Linked DNA regions of Macaca fascicularis. The protein of the gene in region 1 purifies or fractionates together with the protein of each later gene. This does not show direct contact. Links are inferred from orthologs where the notes say so. Each region holds a gene or a part of one and is shown in the gene's direction. Other genes may lie near its edges. The genes, in order: ARFGEF3 and PHB2.

Evidence for each region.
Region 2: the proteins of ARFGEF3 (region 1) and PHB2 purify together in Homo sapiens (affinity purification with western blotting; 4 studies listed by BioGRID). This does not show direct contact. The link is inferred for Macaca fascicularis from reciprocal best matches to the Homo sapiens genes ARFGEF3 and PHB2.

The regions. Positions count from the first base shown.
Region 1 is NC_088378.1:42,370,050-42,379,938, forward strand, and holds part of ARFGEF3 (brefeldin A-inhibited guanine nucleotide-exchange protein 3), read left to right. Parts: intron 1-100; coding exon 101-1,322; intron 1,323-2,426; coding exon 2,427-2,618; 3' UTR 2,619-9,889. UniProt on the Homo sapiens protein: Participates in the regulation of systemic glucose homeostasis, where it negatively regulates insulin granule biogenesis in pancreatic islet beta cells. Also regulates glucagon granule production in pancreatic alpha cells.
Region 2 is NC_088385.1:7,904,734-7,915,254, reverse strand, and holds PHB2 (prohibitin-2), read left to right. Parts: upstream 1-3,757; 5' UTR 3,758-3,882; coding exon 3,883-4,009; intron 4,010-4,158; coding exon 4,159-4,243; intron 4,244-4,849; coding exon 4,850-4,929; intron 4,930-5,857; coding exon 5,858-6,042; intron 6,043-6,408; coding exon 6,409-6,538; intron 6,539-6,650; coding exon 6,651-6,754; intron 6,755-6,823; exon of another isoform or gene 6,824-7,092; intron 7,093-7,180; coding exon 7,181-7,258; intron 7,259-8,818; coding exon 8,819-8,895; intron 8,896-9,306; coding exon 9,307-9,410; intron 9,411-9,608; coding exon 9,609-9,694; 3' UTR 9,695-9,968; downstream 9,969-10,521. Other genes in the region: EMG1 (ribosomal RNA small subunit methyltransferase NEP1), read right to left, coding at 1-61, 3,335-3,502.

The DNA.
Region 1 (9,889 bases):
TTTGCATATATCATTCTGAAATGGGTAACGTCTATATTGCTTTGAAATACCTGATGTAGGGCAGAAAACCATTCATCGATCCCTCTCTTTTCACTTGAAGCGTGTCTTTCAGGGAAATTGTGGTGAGCCTGCTGTCCCATCAGGTGTTACTCCAGAACTTATATGACATCTTGTTAGAAGAGTTTGTCAAAGGCCCCTCTCCTGGAGAGGAAAAGACGATCCAAGTGCCAGAAGCCAAGCTGGCTGGCTTCCTCAGATACATCTCCATGCAGAACTTGGCAGTCATATTCGACCTGCTGCTGGACTCTTACAGGACTGCCAGGGAGTTTGACACCAGCCCCGGGCTGAAGTGCCTGCTGAAGAAAGTGTCTGGCATCGGGGGCGCCGCCAACCTCTACCGTCAGTCTGCGATGAGCTTTAACATTTATTTCCACGCCCTGGTGTGTGCTGTTCTCACCAATCAAGAAACCATCACGGCCGAGCAAGTGAAGAAGGTCCTTTTTGAGGACGACGAGAGAAGCACAGATTCTTCCCAGCAGTGTTCATCGGAGGATGAAGACATCTTTGAGGAAACCGCCCAGGTCAGCCCCCCGAGAGGCAAGGAGAAGAGACAGTGGCGGGCACGGATGCCCTTGCTCAGCGTCCAGCCTGTCAGCAACGCAGATTGGGTGTGGCTGGTCAAGAGGCTGCACAAGCTGTGCATGGAACTGTGCAACAACTACATCCAGATGCACTTGGACCTGGAGAACTGTTTGGAGGAGCCTCCCATCTTCAAGGGCGACCCATTCTTCATCCTGCCCTCCTTCCAGTCCGAGTCATCCACCCCATCCACGGGGGGCTTCTCTGGGAAAGAAACCCCTTCCGAGGACGACAGAAGCCAGTGCCGGGAGCACACGGGCGAGTCCCTGAGCCTGAAGACCGCTGGTGGGGACCTGCTGCTGCTGCCCCCCAGCCCCAAAGTAGAGAAGAAGGATCCCAGCCGGAAGAAGGAGTGGTGGGAGAATGCAGGCAACAAAATCTACACCATGGCGGCCGACAAGACCATTTCAAAGTTGATGACCGAATACAAAAAGAGGAAACAGCAGCACAACCTGGCCGCGTTCCCCAAAGAGGTCAAAGTGGAGAAGAAAGGAGAGCCACTGGGTCCCAGGGGCCAGGACTCCCCACTGCTTCAGCGTCCCCAGCACTTGATGGACCAAGGGCAAATGCGGCATTCCTTCAGCGCAGGCCCCGAGCTGCTGCGACAGGACAAGAGGCCCCGCTCAGGCTCCACCGGCAGCTCCCTTAGTGTCTCGGTGAGAGACGCAGAAGCACAGATCCAGGTACACCCCTGCGGCCAGAGGAGGTGGGCGGGAAGCTGGGTTTCCAGTACTGAATGGGCCCCCCTTGCAGAGCAGGCTCACACAGGCTAATTTATAGAAACAGGTAGGGAGTACGAACCAATTTCCCTCCAAAGTCAGAGGACTGCCCGAGCCTAAGTGCAGGATTTCCCAGTATCAGTATATCATTATGAAGCTGGAATTTTACTCTCAGGTAATTTCAGGAACTGTTTTTCTCCATTGTAATGTGTATTATTGAAAATTAGGAACTTAGCTGTATAAATAAGATGAGGCTAAAGCTTATAAAATGTAAGCTTTTTCAAGACCAGCCTGGACAACAAGGCAAAACCCATCTCTACAAAAAAAGAAATACAAAAATTAGCTGGGAAAGGTGGCACATGCCCGTAATCCCAGCTACTTGGGAGGCTGAGCCAGGAGGATTGCGTGATCCCAGGAGGTAGAGGTTGCAGTGAGCTGAGATAGTGCCACTGCACACCAGTTTGGATGCATAGGGAAACCCTGTCTTAAAAAAAGTAAGCTTTAACTGGCATCGAGTTCTTAGTGTGTCATTCAAAAATGGCACTGAAGAAATTCTGTAGTTATGAAGCATTATACAAACGAAAAAAGCAAATATTGTGTGGTTATGCCAATTAACTTTTTTCAAATTGTTTTCATCTCAACTTTTTCTAGCCCATCCTGTGCACATAAAAATTCTCAATCTTCAGGGGGGCTTAGAGTGTAATTCTATGGTGCATCAAAAAATGAGTTTGAGATGAATGGCCTATGGAGATCTCATTGTGAGAAGGCAAGGGAGGTTTTTTATTTTTGCTTTTGTTTTTTCTAATCTAAGGAGTAAGAGTTTAGTAGTTTGTGAAAGCTGAAAATAAGGCGAATCTCTGCCCATCTTTATGGATGTGAAATTATGATGTAGGCATAATAAATTAATATGCCTACAATTTATTACAGGCATATTAAATGAACAAAAACTAATTTATTGCAACTACAGCCTGAAAAAAAAAACCATTTCCACATTGGCAGGGCCGCTCTCAAGTGTTCAAATAAAACCAGGGGGGAAAGCCACTAATTTTCTTAAATCCTTTCTCTTAGGCATGGACCAACATGGTGCTAACAGTTCTCAATCAGATTCAGATTCTCCCAGACCAGACCTTTACGGCCCTCCAGCCCGCAGTGTTCCCGTGCATCAGTCAGCTGACCTGTCACGTGACTGACATCAGAGTTCGCCAGGCTGTGAGGGAGTGGCTGGGCAGGGTGGGCCGTGTCTATGACATCATTGTGTAGACATCATTGTGTAGCAGACTCCTATTCCACTCCGCCACCAAACAGCAGTAGTGAGGGTTAGAGTCTGCCTGCCTATCCAACTGTTGCGTTTTCCCCACCACCAGCCCCACTTAAACTAGTGTCTCAGAGAACAATGTTTCCTAATGTAAAAAGCCTTTCCAACCACTGATCAGCATTGGGGCCATGCTAAGGTTTGTATCTAGATGACACAAACGATATTCTGATTTTGCACATTATTATAGAAGAATCTATAATCCTTGATATGTTTCTAACTCTTGAAGTATATTTCCCAGTGCTTTTGCTTACAGCATTGTCCCCAAATGGGTCATTTTCAAGGGTTACTCATTTGAAAACACTATATTGATCTATCATCTTAAAAATAAATATAATTCCTAAGGCAATATCTGCTGGTAAATCAAGCTGATATGTAAACTCAGACATCTAGTACCAGGGATTATTAACTGGAGGAAGATTTATGATTATGGGTTTGGCTGGGAAGAAGACAACTATAAAAACATATTCTTGGGTGTCATAATCAAGAAAGAGGTGACTTCTGTTGTAAAATAATCCAGAACACTTCAAAATTATTCCTAAATAAGATTTTCAGCTATTCACCAATTTCCCCATATAAGGTACTGTTGTGCCTTGATTTCTGTATGATTTCTGTATGTCTAAAAGAAGAAAGTTCTTTCCTAGCAGGGTTTGAAGTCTGTGGCTTGTCAGCCTGTGACACAGAGTACCCAGTGAAAGTGGCTGATACATAGATCGTCGAGAGACATGAGACCGACCAGCCACCCTGGCTGTTCTCGTGGTGTTTGCTTCCGTCCCCAAGGCAAACAAGGAAAGGAAAGAAAAAATGGTGCCTTAGTCTTTTGTTGCACTTACATTTCCATGCCCCACAATTATCTGAACGTAAGGTATAACGTTTGGTTTTTAAGACAACAAAACAGTAAAACACAACTCATTTTATATCAACACACTTGGAGGAAAGGGACTCAGGAAGGGAGCAGGGAGTGTGGGCTAGGGATAGATTATGATGAAATCATTTTCAATCTTAAAATATAACACAACAATCTTGCAAAATTATGGTGTCAGTTACACAAGCGCAAGTCTCATAAAATGAAGGCAATGGAGAAAGACACTGAAATTTAGAAAATTTTGTCTATTTAAAATATTTCTCCTATCTAGCAAGTAAAGTTACCCTACGTTTGATGTCTTTTCATTCAGACCAATATTTCAGGTGGATATTTCTAAGTACTGAAAGCTTTATCTTATTATTTACAGTATTTTTACATTATCCTAATGATTGAAAACTCCTCAATCAAGCTTACTTACACACATTCTACAGAGCAGAGTTAGTTGTTAAGGCATACATTATAATTTCTCAGCTCTATTCGTAATGAATAAGTCACCCTTTAAATAAAAGACAAATTCTGCAGTCTTGAAACACGGATTTAAAAGGGTATTTGCAAACTTTGCCCTCCTTGAGAAACATGGAACTAACTTAGAGGTTAAGAGGAAGGCAGTGTTGTGACTTCTTCAGGTGATCTGAAAGAAAGACCCTTATCATTCTGTGTGCCATCTAGAGATCACCACAGAATCCATTTTTTTCCCAGTTCCACAGAACACTCTGTTTGCCTTCATTTTTCACTCACTAGACAATAATTCAAGTTTAGAAACAGGTAATCAGCTATTTGATCTTAAAAGGCAATGAATTGTTGGGATATCAGTGAACTATGTTGTATACTTTTGAATTTTTATACTTTATAAATGGAATTGAAAGTTGGATAACTGCTTTTTTTTTTTTATTTTCCAACAGAAGTAACACCACAGTTGTTTTGTTTCTTTTTATAGCTTACCTGAGGTTCAGTTCTTCTTTGTGAACCTGCAAGTACTCCACAGTTTACTGGGGGAAAAGGCCTCAGTAAAGCAGAGGCCAGAATTACAGTATTTATACATAGCAACTTTTCATAAAGTAGAAAAATTCAAAGGAAGCTGTCTCAATTTGTGAATACCAGCTGGGCGCAGTGGCTCATGCCTGTAATCCCAACACTCTGGGAGGCCGAGGTGGGCGGATCACATGCGGTCAGGAGTTTGAGACCAGCCTGGACAACATGGTGAAACCCCGTCTCTACCAAATATGCAAAAATTAGCTAGGTGTGGTAGCATGCACCTGTAATCCCAGCTACTCAGGAGGCTGAGACAGGAGAATCGCTTGAACCCAGGAGGCGGAGGTTGCAGTGAGCCGAGATTGTGCCATTGCACTCCAGCCTGGGCGACAAGAGTGAAACTCCATCTAAAAAAATGATAATTGTGAATACTGTGTCCCAAAGTATGTTAGTTATTTGGAAATCAGCATTCTCCCTGATGCTCTATTATGGGATCCAAAATTCTTGAACATAAGTTTACCCTATACTGTGTCCGAACACTGTTCTAGTTCTAGCCTGAATATGGGTCCCAAGAATAAAAGGATGAGAAGGTGTACAGAGCTCTTGACCTATAATTTAAAGAGTGTTTTGGTACCTTCCCATTGTCTTCTCTATAACCCAGTCCTGACATACTCTGCACTTGAGTTACTGGACATCCACACTGACATCAGATTTCAACCAGAAGCATCACTGAGTGACAGCAGTACTTCTCAGAGGTATTTGCAGCTTGATGCAAAGTAGTCTCTAATAAGTAGGCCTTCAGGTGATTCTTCCCAGCAGGTGGAGAAGCAAGGGAGGAGATGAAGAACACTGAGAGGGGAGTGGCACTTTCCCAGACCGCCCAGCTCAGTCTCTTGCCCTGTTCCTGTGACTCAGCTGCCCACCCCCAAACTTGTTTCACTCCCTCCCAGTCTCTGAAAGTGTCAGGTGTTTCTCTCCTCACAGTCTCTTTTGCAGCAACAGTAAGACAAAATTCAAAGCAGCCTTTTAAAGTGAAGAACAGTTATTAGCATGTATTTACAGACCTAAGCAGAATGAAAGTTTATACATTGTTTTTAGTTGCCTGTATTTATAGCCAAAACTTTATTACCCTAAAGTTGAGATCTTTCTCTTCTTTTCCTAAATTTTGGTAAAGTGTGCTTCATGAAACAAACATCTGGAAAACTCCAAGTATAAGAGACCTGGGACTGATGATGGCCCAGCCAAGTGTATGGAGGGACAGAGTTCTCTCTGTCATTAATGAGGACATCGGTTTTCACAACTGAACCTCATGCACTGTCCATAGCATCTCACCTAGCTCTTGTGTCTCCTGATCATATTTTAAAAATAGACTGCCTTTTTACACAATCTTCTCTCCTCTTATGATAATTTTCCAGCCCTTACCATAGATATAAAACTAGAACACTTTTATTATTTGGGGTCTATGTAATGACTGACCAATAAGAACCCAGACAGATACTAACATACTTAACAGCTCTCATTAAAATACTTTAAATCAGGCATGGTGGCTCATGCCTGTAATCCCAGCACTTTGGGAGGCTGAGGCAGGTAGATCTCTTGAGGTCAGGAGTTTGAGACCTGGCCAACATGGTGAAACCCTGTCTCTACTAAAAATACAAAATTAGCTGGGCATGGTGGCAGCCACCTGTAATCCCAGCTACTTGGGAGGCTGAGGCAGGAGAATTGCTTGAACCTGGGAGGTGGGGGTTGCAGTGAACCAAGATTGCACTCTAGCCTGGGTGACAAAGTGAGACTTCTTCTCAAAAAAAGTAAATAAAAATAAAAATTTTAAATCAAACATGACAAAAATGTTGATATAATTCAAAAGTTCCTTGAAATTGAAACATATTGGTACAATGATCATTAGGCTTTTCGTCCTTGTTGTTTTAAAATAGCCTTGGCTGTGAGAAGGTAATGCAGTTATGTAATAGATATCCTTGATTTTACCAGAAAGGAAAATCCATCAGTATCAGTCCCATCAAAGTAAACAGAATGAAGACCTTTGTGTAGAGCTGACAGTAATAACAAGAGGTTACAAATAGCAGGGAGGAAGAGAGTGGTGAATGTCACTGTGATTGCAAACCTTTACCTGTATTATCACACGTAGTCCTCACAACAACCTTGTGAGACAAGTATTGTGTTCCTCATTTTTTCAGATGAGAACACAGACCCAGAGAGGTTCAGAAACTTGCCCAAGATAACAAGCAAAAGGCAAAGTTGGTTGCAAAAGAGGTGTTTCTGAATTCAAAGGCCATACTCTCTCTGACAACATGCTGTAAGTCCACAGAGTAAGCACTCTAGTATGAGAAAAAGTTTCAAGGAATGAGGCCATTAAAATGAGACTATTTGACATCTCAGATCTGTCTGGGATGTTACGGAGGTTTTTAAAAATAAAGTTGAAAAAAGAAAATGAATCGTGTTTATACATTAAAAAATCATATGTAACACATTTCAAGTGTTTGAAAATAAAGCCAAAATCTAAACTTTAATCTTCAAGCAGACATTCAGTGTTACTTTAGAAAACTCACTGAATTAGGCAGAAATGATGGAATAATACTGTTCATGGCCAGCTGTTAACACAGAAGTACATGGCAGCCTGTGTCTAGAATGGCATGCACGATTTGTAAACCTTTTTCAAATATCATTTAATCAACTCAGAATAAAGTGCCCTGTAGCCAACAGTGCCTCTTTACTTGCTTCTCTGGGAAATACATGGTACTAAATTTGTAGCACAAAGTTTGGGAATATGCAAAATAATGGATAACCATTTTTCAAAATGTACATTCTCTGAAGAGGAAGCAGCTGGTTGGACAAGATTGCTTGAAGAACCAGGTGCTAAGGGCATCAAGTCGACATCCTTAGTAACCATGTGCCATAACATCTACACATTTCCACTTGTTTTACAGACAAAGAAACAGGCAGAAGGAAAATCCAGAGTCTTGCAGTAAGCAGATGACAAGACTTCAATATGCTTGGGCACCACTTAGGTGACCCCAGGGAGATTTAGTGTGGCCTTAGGAAAGCAAAAGAGCACTTTTTATTGGAAATATGAGCTTGTTACTGGGAAAGATTTGTAAACTTGGTCAAGAACTTGATTTATAATTACGCCTCCTCAAAAAAAAGTTCTCATTTAGTAGTGGAGCAATCTAGAAAACATACCTTTTTTGTTTGTTTGGAAGATCCTTTTTCTCTGGCTATATTGTAGTGTTTGCTATTTGATGTGGAAATAATAACTTAAGATTTTGGAACAGAACACCCTTTAGATTTCCAAAACACAATTCTTATTTCAGGGAAGACAGACCAAAAATATCTCCTGAGATCATCAGTTTCTTTATAAATTGTGGTACCATTCTATCATTGAAGAGAAACCACTACCACACCACGAGCACCATACAAAACCTTTTCTCTGTATCTTTGTACAATACTACAAAGGGGTACCAGGGAGGAAGAGTGGCTGACCACTTTGGTGACAAAATGGCACTCCACTGCTGGTGAATTCCATCTAATTATGGTCCTTCCACCCTTTTCAACCACCAAAAACTGTTTTTACTGTTAATTCCTATCCTGAAGGTTTAACCAGTGGTTGTCCCATATCTTTTGTCTTTAGAACAGTGGTTCTCAAACTTTAGTACACATCAGTATCACCTGGAGGGCCTGTTAAGACACAGATTGCTGGGCTCCTGCTCAGAGTTTCCAGTTAAGTAAATCAGGAAATTTGCATTTCTAACAAGTTTATAGGTGAGGCCAATACTGCTGTTTTGGGAACTATGCTTTGAGAACCACTGCCTTGAAAAAGTTTCCAACTACTACCTTTAAGATCAACCTGACTTATCAAACGCTAGAGAAAAACTGAATCTATCCTTGGGCAGACAACTTGGGATTGGATTCTATACAGCAGTCTTGCTCAATCTTCCCAGTTTCCAGTTTTATTATACCAACAATTGGTTTTTACAAGCTAGAAGACAATGAATGTATAAGTTCTATGGAACAGTGAGATCAATCTAAGCTTCTCGTCTTTGTATTTAGAAACATTGATTCTATGGATGATCATTTGTATCATGTTGACCCTTTGACTTGTATTGAAGGTGATTTTAAATTTAAGTGTGTAGTGTTTGAATTTCTTCCGTCCATATCGTTTTAATGAGATGTTTCCATGTAGGCTCCTTTACAGCCTTGGCTCCTGGCTTACAGATTTTTTAATAGTTGCTTGCTTGCCAGTTGTTTTACATCTCTCATTGGCCACCAAAATATTAGCCCTTTGAGATGAGACTACTTGTTGTACCTTCATCTTTCATTTAACTGTCTGGCATAAATTAACATTTCAATTTCATATATATCTGTGAAGAGTCTACCCAAAGGCTTCATGGAAATTTGCAAAATGAACCAATTCCCTTTTAAGCAGTAGGTGTGCCTGTTTTGACTTTTCAGTAAATATGTTGTGTTTGTGCACATACCTACATGGTGGAGACCATATTCATTATTTCATCTTCCAAATAACGGGAAAAATATAAAAATAATCAGTGTGCTTTGGGAATTCAGTGAAATCATGTTAACTCATATAGAGGGGGCCTTAGTTTATCTCTTCTTTATTTAATTAATTAGCTTTGGAAATTCTTTTACCATTAAAAAAAAGTTAAGGACCATAGGGAGAATGATTTAAGAAAAAAACAAGTAACTTAACAATCATCACCTATTTATAAACTGTATTAATTACATGTAATGCTTATTGATTCAATGAGGTTTCTCTAAAGACTTCTGCTTAATATACTGACTCATTTAAATTAATTTAGACTATTATAGGAATGGAAGGAAATGATTATATTTACTAGAATTAGTGAGATCAGAAAGCATATCAGAATGTTAATGACATCAAGGAGACAATCCACAGAGTTTTTGGCTCTGTGGATGGTAATAATTGAAGAGTTCTTTTTTTTCTTCCCATAAGTTTTGGAAAGTATTTGTGCATTTAGTTCTTTTAGTAACACTAATTTTAAAATTAAATTTCAAAAGGCAATCTCTAAGAATAACTTATTTTTGTTTTACCAACCGGTGCCAAAAAGGAGAGGAGGGAATCCGAAAGCCAATCTGTTGAACTAATATATAAAAGATTATGTTTCTTCCTAAAGTTAGGGAGACTCGGGCCCTGACACTGCCAGCCCCAGTGAGCATCCCTGGCTACCTCGGGATTATGTGCAAGCTGCTTTGTCCTGCATTTCTCTCATCTGGTTCTTATTGGGAGTGCTTCTCTCTAATAAAAATTGATTTCCCATAAAATAGGCAAAGCTGAACAAAGATGAATGCTTTTGATAAGCTGGGTTTCACTTCAGTTGAAACAATGTGATA
Region 2 (10,521 bases), on another chromosome or scaffold:
CATTCTTCAACAATATAGACTTGTGCTTGTCACAGTTGAGTAGCTCGTATGTCTTCCCTACCTGAAGAACAGGGAACATGACCAAAGAACAGCATTACCTAGCCCACCACCACCAGCAGCTGCATCTGGAAACCTGTTAGGCAAATTCTCAGGCCCACCCTAGACCTACTAAACCAAAAACACAGGAGGTGGAGCCCAGCAAGCCCTTCAGGAGATTACTGTGCAGCCATATTTGCACTCCCCAGTAAATGGTCTTGGAAACAGGAGAAAGGGCACAACCTGTGACTTCACATTACCTACCAATACACTGGATTTAATTTTAAAACCTGTGGCTGTTAGGCAAGGCCAATGAGACATCCTGGAACTAGGCAGGAGTTAGTAGTTAGTGAGCAAGGCTGAATGCTTTGTTTATCACAGGAGCAGTATGTATGTACTATGCAAAACATACCATCACTACCATCAGTTTGCGTACACCAAACATGCACTAAGTGAAGAGCTGCAAATCTGAACAAGAAGAAATGTGAAAATTCTAATGATGCAGGAGGCAGCTGAATCAAAGAAAACGCAGAAGTAAAATGAAGAGGGGTTATTCCCAGTTTTAAGACTGGCATGGGGACAGGTGCAGTGGCTCAAGCCTGTAATCTCAGCACTCTAGGAGGCCAAGGAAGGCAAATCACTTAAGGTCAGGAGTTCAAGACCAGCCTGGGCAACATGGCAAAACCTCATCTCTACTAAAAATACAAAAACTAGCTGGGTGTGGTGGCATATGCCTGTAGTCTTAGCTACTTGGGAGGCTAAGGTGGGAGGATGGCTTGAGCCTGGGAGATGGAGGTTGCAGTGAGCCAAGATTGCACCACTTTACTCCAGCCTGGGTGACAGAGCAAGACCCTGTCTCAAAAAAAGAAAAAAAAAGATTGGCATGAGCAGAGGTACAGTTAGAATCAAGAAAAAGTAGCTAGGTGTGGTGGCTCATGCCTGTGATCCCAACAAGTTAGGAGGCCGAGGCGGGAGGATCACTTGAGCCCAGGAATTTGAGACCGGCCTGGGCAACACGGTGGGGCCCTGTCTCACCAAAAAAAAAAAAAAAAAAACAGGTGCAGTGGCATTTGCTGGCAGTCCCTGCTACTCAGGAGGATGAGGTGGGAGGACTGCTTGAGCCAGGGAGGTAGAGGCTGCAGTGAGCCATCACACCACTGCACTCTGTTGCCTGGGCAACAGAGCGAGACCCTGTCTCAAAAAAGAAACAAAAAAGTGGAAACGAAGAAAGGAAATTTTGAGGAAAATTGGGAGCTGGGACACTGAAGGGCAGTGATTATATATGAAGCTGCTTTGTAAACCACAAAATCCTAATGTATCGAGCACAAAGCCAAAAATCTGGAGTAAGAAGGGCAGGATGGGAATGACTGACAGACACTATCCTAACAACTCTGTGTACACTGAAAAAGACATCAGAAGTTTGATGATAAAGAAGTGGACTACATCTGTAGCAGCTAAAAGAAATAATTCCAAGTTGCAATTTGGAGTCCCAAGGAGCATTAGGGTGGTCAGTAAAAAGCCTAAAAACAAACTGTTATATACAAATACAGGTTTTGGAAGGCTAAGTTTTTTGTTTTGTTTTGTTTTTTTTGAGACTGAGTCTGGCTCTGTCGCCCAGGCTGGAGTGCAGTGGCCGGATCTCAGCTCACTGCATGCTCCGCCTCCCGGGTTTACGCCATTCTCCGGCCTCAGCCTCCGGAGTAGCTGGGACCACAGGCCCCCGCCACCTCGCCCGGCTAGTTTTTTTGTGTTTTTTAGTAGAGACGGGGTTTCACCGTGTTAGCCAGGATGGTCTCGATCTCCTGACCTCGTGATCCGCCCGTCTCAGCCTCCCAAAGTGCTGGGATTACAGGCTTGAGCCACCGCGCCCGGCTGGAAGGCTAAGTTTTTATGTATCACTAGAATGTTTGTATATGTCTAGCAACATTCTTGAGATACATGGCTCCAAAAAGTCTGCGAAAAAAGGGATACAGATTTTGAAATTGAATAGTTGAAGTAGCAATGTCACAGAGTAAGCACAAAGAAAGAACAAATGACGAAGAACTAAGTCCATGAGACATCCTTAGTTATAGAAGAAAAAACCTTCTTGAATGAATAATAGTTTCAACCCATTAGTAGGATATAACCATGTTTTCTATTCCTTTAATAGATTACAGGTGCAGGCCAGTAATCCCAGCTACTCTGGAGGCTGAGGCAGGAGAATCGATTGAACCCGGGAGGCGGAGGCTGCAGTAAGCCAAGATCATGCCACTACACTCCAGCCTGGGAGAGACTGAGGCTCTGTTTCGCGCACACACACACACACATGCACACACAAAGTGTATTTAGAACGAAGACTAAAATCCTGGTCTGACTTCTAAACCCATGCAATTTCTCCTGGGCCTACTCATTGAATTATTTCTAAAGGGTAAGAGAAAGGAGGAAGAACATTGCCCAAGGCTTTAAGATAGAGAATTGCTGGTTCTATTTATTACATGTGGAGAAAGACATGAATGATAGATAAAAATGCAGACGTAAAAGTGTTAAACAATAACCTGGTCTGGACAGTGTTTCCAGGTGGATATTAGAGAGAGGTGACTATGGACACTAATGAATTGAAACATGAAGCCCTTACAAAAAGGGAGGGCAGACTAGGCTACATAACTACCTTTCTCATCCGCCCAGTAACTTGTCTTGGGATGTGGAATGATGCAACAAACGAAACTTTCCTCTCCTTAGACTACTGTATCACAGAATCCTGGTAAACCAGTTGGAAGCAAAGAGGTGAGGGCTGGAATGGCATTCAAGAAGAGCAAAAGAAAATGAGTACTACCGGCCGGGCACGGTGCCTCACGCCTGTAATCCCAGCACTTTGGGAGGCCGAGGCGGGCGGATCACTTGAGGTCAGGAGTTCGAGACCAGCCTGGCCAACATAGTGAAACCCCATCTCTACTAAAAAAACCCAAAAAATTAGCCGGGCATGGTGGCGCGTGCCTGTAGTCCCAACGACTCCAGAGGCTGATTCAGGAGAATTGTTTGAACCCGGGAGGCAGAGGTTGCAGTGAGTCGAGATCGCGCCACTGCACTCCAGCCTGGGCGCCAGAGCGAAACGCCATCTCAAAAAAAAAAAAAAAAGAAAAAGAAAAATGAGCACTACCATCCCAGGATGTCAGATCAACGCACAGCCAACCAACCCATCTTCCTTCAAAAGCATCTTTCACCCCTCTCTGCTTTCTCCATCCACTCTGAGCCCCTCACCCTCATTCCACGGATCCCAGTCTATTGATTTACTACTTATCCACTTCCTGTCCCAAACTACCTTGACTGTCTCCAGACTGGCCCCTTCCAGCACCACAATAAGCCTACGGCCTCCGATCTTGTTTCCTGCCCCTAGTCGGGGCCGCTTGGGTGGCACAGCATCCCAGTCCTGTGCCTGCTCCCCACCGCTTCGTTCACGAGGCTTGAATCCACCACTGGGCGCGGCCATCTTGCAACCAGACCGGAAGTTGCGCTAACGCTCTTAAATGAGAACAGTGAGGCTTCTAATCACAAATTTCCTTCCGGCTGCCATTTTGAAAGTGGGCTTGTAAATGGCGATGACTTGCCGTCTTGCGCTGCCCTCCCTGGGAGGGCAGCCCTCCAGAAAGGGGCGGGACTTCCGTATGCGCTCTTCCTGTGCGCGAAGTTCGGGTCGGTAGTGGGCTAAGGGGGAGGGTTTCCAAGGGAGCGCACTTCCGGTGCCCTTTCTTTCGCCAGCATTACGGGCCCGAACCCTCGTGTGAAGGGTGCAGTACCTAAGCTGCAGCGGGGTAGAGGCGGGCCGGCACCCCCTTCTGACCTCCGGTGCCGCCGGCCTCAAGATCAGACATGGCCCAGAACTTGAAGGACTTGGCGGGACGGCTGCCCGCCGGGCCCCGGGGCATGGGCACGGCGCTGAAGCTGTTGCTGGGGGCCGGCGCCGTGGCGTACGGTGTCCGCGAATCCGTGTTCACTGGTGAGCAACCTTCGCCTGCTCGCCGGACGCTTCCAGTCCCTCCCCCAAACCCCTTGCCCTATCTCACCGGTCCCCGCGCCCCACCACGAGCCTAGCTAGCATTTACTCTGAGCAGCGGCCTGGCCTGATCACCACCCCTCTCCCCACAGTGGAAGGCGGGCACAGAGCCATCTTCTTCAATCGGATCGGTGGAGTGCAGCAGGACACTATCCTGGCCGAGGGCCTTCACTTCAGGTAATGGCGGGCAGAGCTTACTGACCCTGACCTTTCACCCTTGACGCCGACCCAGCAGTGGCTGTAGTGGGACGTGCAACAGGATTCAACGCTGCTCTTTTCCCTCTCTCCTCATCCCTGCTCGTAGGATAGTGGGTGCTGCGCGAACCTCCAGCAGCATATGAACTGTTGTTTTCGAAAGGGACAAGAGAATCTCTCCTTGTCGGTGGTCATGGGGAGGAGCAGGCCAAAAAACGCCTGGTGAGGGGAAACCGGGCAAAGCTAGTGAAACTGCGGCTTTTTTTGGGGAGGGGGGCGCGGGAGTTTTGCTGTGTCGCCCAGGCTGGAGTGCAGTGGCGCGATCTCGGCTCACTGCATCCTCCGCCTCCTGGGTTCAAGCGATTCTCCTGCCTCAGCCTCACGATTAGCTGGGATTACAGGCGCCCGCCACCACGCCCGACTAATTTTTGTATTTTAGTAGAGACGGGGTTTCACTATATAGGTCAAGCTGGTCTCGAACTTCTGACCTCAAATGATTCGGCCGCCCAAAGTGCTGGGATTCCAAGCGTGAGCCACCGCTCCTGGCCGAAACTGCGGCCTCTTAATACCTATCCCTGTCCCCTCCAGGATCCCCTGGTTCCAGTACCCCATTATCTATGACATTCGGGCCAGACCTCGAAAAATCTCCTCCCCTACAGGCTCCAAAGGTAGGTCTGAGCACTTGGTAATCACATGGCAGGTGGGATGATCAAGGGAGCTGGCAAGAAACCCCAGGTGAAGATGGTAGTGTCAGGCCTTTAGGCCTTAGTTTCCATGTCTGCAAGAACTGTAACAAAAATACCTGCCTCCCGGGGTCAAAGCAGCACATTCTGAACACCCTGTGTTTGCGTGCTTTCTACTGTCTCATCCCTGACGTATTCATTAAGAGTATTGTTTGTCTTTTGTCTTATGCACTGCCTAGATCAAAGCCTTGTTTTAAAGCCTTTTTTTCTAACTGCTTGACTTACTATATCTACAGTTACATCCACTAGTATACTCTGTTCAGGAGAAGTTTGTCCCTACCCTTGACTAGTTCACCTGTTCTCTCCTTCTAGACCACACATAAAAGCCATGCCTTTGAGTTTCCCAGACCTCTTCCTCCTCCACACACACACACACACACACACACACACACACGCACACACGCATACACCCTGGGTGAGGTAGGTCACCTGTAACCTGTAATGTACTTCTTTGTACTATACCTAGTGCAGGTGGCTTATTCATTTACTAGACTGCTGGGCCCTGGAATACAAGATTCATTAAGCACATTTTTGTCCCCCAAGTCCTTACAGGAGACGTGATTACGGTACAGCGTGAAAGCACCCACATTAGAGGTTGCATGGAGTACAGAGGGGGAAAGAGCAGTCAGCCCTGCTGGTGACGGGGTTGCAGTTCCAGGCTTCACAGTGGGTGAGGGTGCATTTCACCTGTGCTGCTTCATGTGTTCCTTGTCAGCCTGATTAACTCTCCTCCCCCCAGGGCAGTGCCAGGCTGTACATCATTGCACAGGGCATATAGGGAGGAACATGAAGGAGAAAAATGCTTGGGAAAGGGTGTTTGGCCTTGACCAGCCACTGCTGACCTCAATCTCAGACCTACAGATGGTGAACATCTCCCTGCGAGTGCTGTCTCGACCCAATGCTCAGGAGCTTCCTAGCATGTATCAGCGCCTAGGGCTGGACTACGAGGAACGAGTGTTGCCGTCCATTGTCAACGAGGTGCTCAAGAGTGTGGTGGCCAAGTTCAATGCCTCACAGCTGATCACCCAGCGGGCCCAGGTCTGACTCCCACCACCATCTGCATGGTGTCAGCCTTTCCCTTCTAGGCCCAGAGTACTGGGAATTAGGAAAGGCAGCTTAATAGAAGAGGATTGTCACCCTAGTGCCATTTCCACCTAAAAGCTGTGCTAATTGCCACTGTGAGATAAGGAGAGCCAGCATTAGAACTCGGTAGCACTTGGTATTAGGAAGCACAGAGGAAAATGACCAAGTCTTGGCTTTTCCTGCACCTCTTTCAGCAGAGAGGCTTATGTTATAGGTTTGCCTGACAGGAAGCTAAGGCAGCGCATATTGTATTGAGAGAGTGAAGGATTCGGGGTCGCAACCCAGTCCCCTCAAACCACCCTTCCCCACCCCTGCCCCCAGGTATCCCTGTTGATCCGCCGGGAGCTGACAGAGAGGGCCAAGGACTTCAGCCTCATCCTGGATGACGTGGCCATCACAGAGCTGAGCTTTAGCCGAGAGTACACAGCTGCTGTAGAAGCCAAACAAGTGGGTGAGTTGCACGAGCAGTGGGGTGAGGGCTTCCGAGATGCAGGAGGAGGAAAGACTCCGTGGACGGGGTTCCTGACCCAGCACACGGTCTCCCTGACTCTCTCCCGCTACAGCCCAGCAGGAGGCCCAGCGGGCCCAATTCTTGGTAGAAAAAGCGAAGCAGGAACAGCGGCAGAAGATTGTGCAGGCCGAGGGTGAGGCCGAGGCTGCCAAGATGATATCCTTCTGCGTGAGAGGTCTCGGCCCAGTCCCTAGGGCGCCTGAGTTCCCCATCCTCCTTCACGGGCAGGCTGATGAGACTAAGGCGAATGCGACTCCGTGCTCTCTGGCCCTTGGCTCCTTGTTGCGGGTGGGGGCTACAGATGAGATCTGAAATCTTAGCGGGGGTACCTGAGCCCTGACTCCCCACTGTAAGGCCAGATCAATAGCACTGCTGGCCTTGCCTTCATTTCTGCTGCTGCCCCTAGTTCCTGGCAGCAGCCTGCAGGGAGGCCCACAGGTGGGGTCCAAGGTAGAGCGGGCACAAGCCACCTGAGCGCAACCTTGGATCTGACAGCCCAGAGGAGGACTGTAGCAAGGGAGTGTGGTAAGGACGGGGCTAGGGATTGAGACCTGCCCTTGTGTGAACCTTAACCCTCCTCACCTTGGAGAAGCACTGAGCAAGAACCCTGGCTACATCAAACTTCGCAAGATCCGAGCAGCCCAGAATATCTCCAAGACGGTGAGTGTGTCAGCCCAGCGTCTCTGATGGGGCTGCCTTGAGAAAGTGCTTTCAGTTAAGGCACATTGAGGTGAGGGAATTCGAACCTTGCTTGTTCGGGTTTCTACTCAGAGTGGTTTTATGGCCGGCGCAGTGGATCACCTGAGGTCAGGAGTTCAAGACCCACCTGGCCAACATGGTGAAACCCCATCTCTACTAAAAATACAAAAGAAAATTAGCCTGCTGTGATGGCGTTTAGCTATATTCCCAGCTACTCAGGAGGCTGAGGCAGGAGAATCACTTGAACCCAGGAGGCAGAGGTTGCAGTGAACTGAGATCACGCCACTGCACTCCAACCTGGGCAACAGAGCAAGATTCCGTCTCAAAAATAAATAGCCGGGCGTGGTGGCTCACGCCTGTAATCCTAGCACTTTGGGAGGCCGAGGTGGGCGGATCACAAGGTCAGGAGTTCAAGACCAGCCTGGCCAAGATGGTGAAACCCCATCTCTACTAAAAAAATACAAAAAAAATTAGCTAGGCGTGGTAGCGGGCACCTGTACTCCCAGCTACTCAGGAGGCCGAGGCAGAGAATCGCTTGAACCTGGGAGGTAGAGGTTGCAGTGAGCCGTGATAGCACCTCTGCACTCCAGCCTGGGCAATAGAGCGAGACTCTGTCTCAAAAAAAATAAGTAAATAGGCCAGGTGCAGTGGCTCACACCTATAATCCCAGCACTTTGGGAGGCCGAGGTGGGCGGATCACGAGGTCAGGAGATCGAGACCATCCTGGCTAACACGGTGAAACCCCGTCTCTACTAAAAAAATACAAAAAATTAGCCGGGCGTGGTGGCGGGCACCTGTAGTCCCAGCTACTTGGGAGGCTGAGGCAGGAGAATGGCGTGAACCCGGGAGGCGGAGCTTGCAGTGAGCCGAGATCGCACCACTGCACTCCAGCCTGGGTGACAGAGCGAGACTCCATCTCAAAAAAAAAAAAAACTAAGTAAATAAAAAACAGCCGGGCGCGGTGGCTCAAGCCTGTAATCCCAGCACTTTGGGAGGCCGAGACGGGCGGATCACGAGGTCAGGAGATCGAGACCATCCTGGCCAACACGGTGAAACCCTGTCTCTACTAAAAATACAAAAAAAAACTAGCCGGGCGAGGTGGCGGGTGCCTGTAGTCCCAGCTACTCGGGAGGCTGAGGCAGGAGAATGGCGGGAACCCGGGGGGCGGAGCTTGCAGTGAGCCGAGATCTGGCCATTGCACTCCAGCCTGGGTGACACAGCAAGACTCCGTCTCAAAAAAAATAATAATAATAATAATAATAATAAATAAATAAATAATTGGCTTCTCCAGTACTTTTCCCCTCATCAAGAATGATTCCTCTGGATTCCCTGACCTTTTGTTCTTGCCTCTGTTACTTTGCTAATAGTCATAGGTGCTGCTCAGTGCTCTAGATCCCTAAATGAGAGTAGAAACCATGTCTTATTCATTGCTGTATCCCTGCACTAATCTGCATGTGTTCCATTAAGTGGCTACTGAATTGCAGGGGTGGAATTGAGGTCTTTGTATTTCCTGCCCTGTAGATCGCCACATCACAGAATCGCATTTATCTCACGGCTGACAACCTCGTGCTGAACCTACAGGATGAAAGTTTCACCAGGTGAGAGATGGGACCACACAGTGGGGTCTCACAAAGAACGTGGGACTTGGGTCTGGGTGCTTGGGCTCTGGAGCCTGCTACAGCTATTCATATGGCTCTGAGAGACATTGAACCAAAATTAGAAAAGGGGGTGGTTGACAGTTTCTATCTTGTGTCTCATAGGATTGATTTTATGAGATCAAATAGGATTATTCACATAAAAAGCACTTTAATTATAAAGTTTTCATCCAACCAAAAAGTGATGAAAGATGATACTGAGTGTTCTTACTCAAGAGCCCTCAAACTCCTTTGGTGCGGGGAGGGATGTTAGGAAAGGAGATGAGAAATAGCAGTGGCCATGAGAACACGCCACCTCCTTTCATGAATCAGAGATTCCTGGCTGTCAACCCTGTTTGTCTTTTCTCTTGGGAGCAAAGGAGGGTTCAAAACTGAGTGGGGCCTGAAGCTGTCAGCTAACATGTGCATTTCTCTTCTCTGCTTCCTGTTCATCTGGCGATCTGGCACCACAGAGGAAGGTAAGTTGTTGCTACTTCTGTGGGGTCCTGCAGGCCACCTTCTCCTAGTACCTGCCTCCTACCCTACTCCCTTTCCCACCTCCCCGCAGACAAACCCTCAATCGGGGTAGGAGGGTCGTAGAGGGAATGGCCTGGAGTGTCCTGCCTCTCACATTTATGTCCCCTAATAATGTCATCATCTATCTTTTTTTCCTACAGTGACAGCCTCATCAAGGGTAAGAAATGAGCCTAGTCACCAAGAACTCCACCCCCAGAGGAAGTGGATCTGCTTCTCCAGTTTTTGAGGAGCCAGCCAGGGGTCCAGCACAGCCCTACCCCGCCCCAGTATCATGCGATGGTCCCCCACACCGATCCCCTGAACCCCTCTTGGATTAAGGAAGACTGAAGACCAGCCCCTTTTCTGGGGAATTACTTTCCTCCTCCCTGTGTTAACTGGGGCTGTTGGGACATTGTGTGATTTCTCAGTGATTTCCTACAGTGTTGTTCCCTCCCTCAAGGCTGGGAGGAGACAACCACCAACCCAGGAACTCTCAATAAATTTTTATTACTTAACCTGAAGTCAAGGCTTCACGCTTCACGTGTTCACGTGGATAACGGGCAGCACGCATGCGCACGTTCACATATGCGCTCCTGAGTCTGTCTTTGTGTCTGCCAGCAGGGGGCGCAAACAAATCTGGCTGGGGCAGCTACGGGGAAGCTGGGCCTGGGCTCCAAAACAGGACCCAAACTGGGAAGGCTGGCCCTGAGTTCTGGAGGCCCAGCTGTGCTCTTCACCCCACCCTCCATTTCTCCCACACCACCTGTTTTTTTAAGGCTGGACAGCCATGGCTTTGCTGAGCCAGATTTAAAATCTGATGACCCCAACAGAGCTGCTTCCTTGGTTGCAGGGTTCCTTGTGACTGTGGGGAGCCTGCCTGTGCCTGTTGAGGCACTTCTGTGCCCAGAAGCCCGGTGGATTGCGTGGCCTGCTATAGGCCACCCACACTCCATTTCTCAGTCACCAGGCGTGAGGAGCTGCTCGCTAACAGGGCCCCCCCGTGGAGGTGGGCTTTCCCACAGCTCTGGGGCCAACGGAACAGGTGCCTGTCTGTTCAGTCCAAAGATAAGCTGA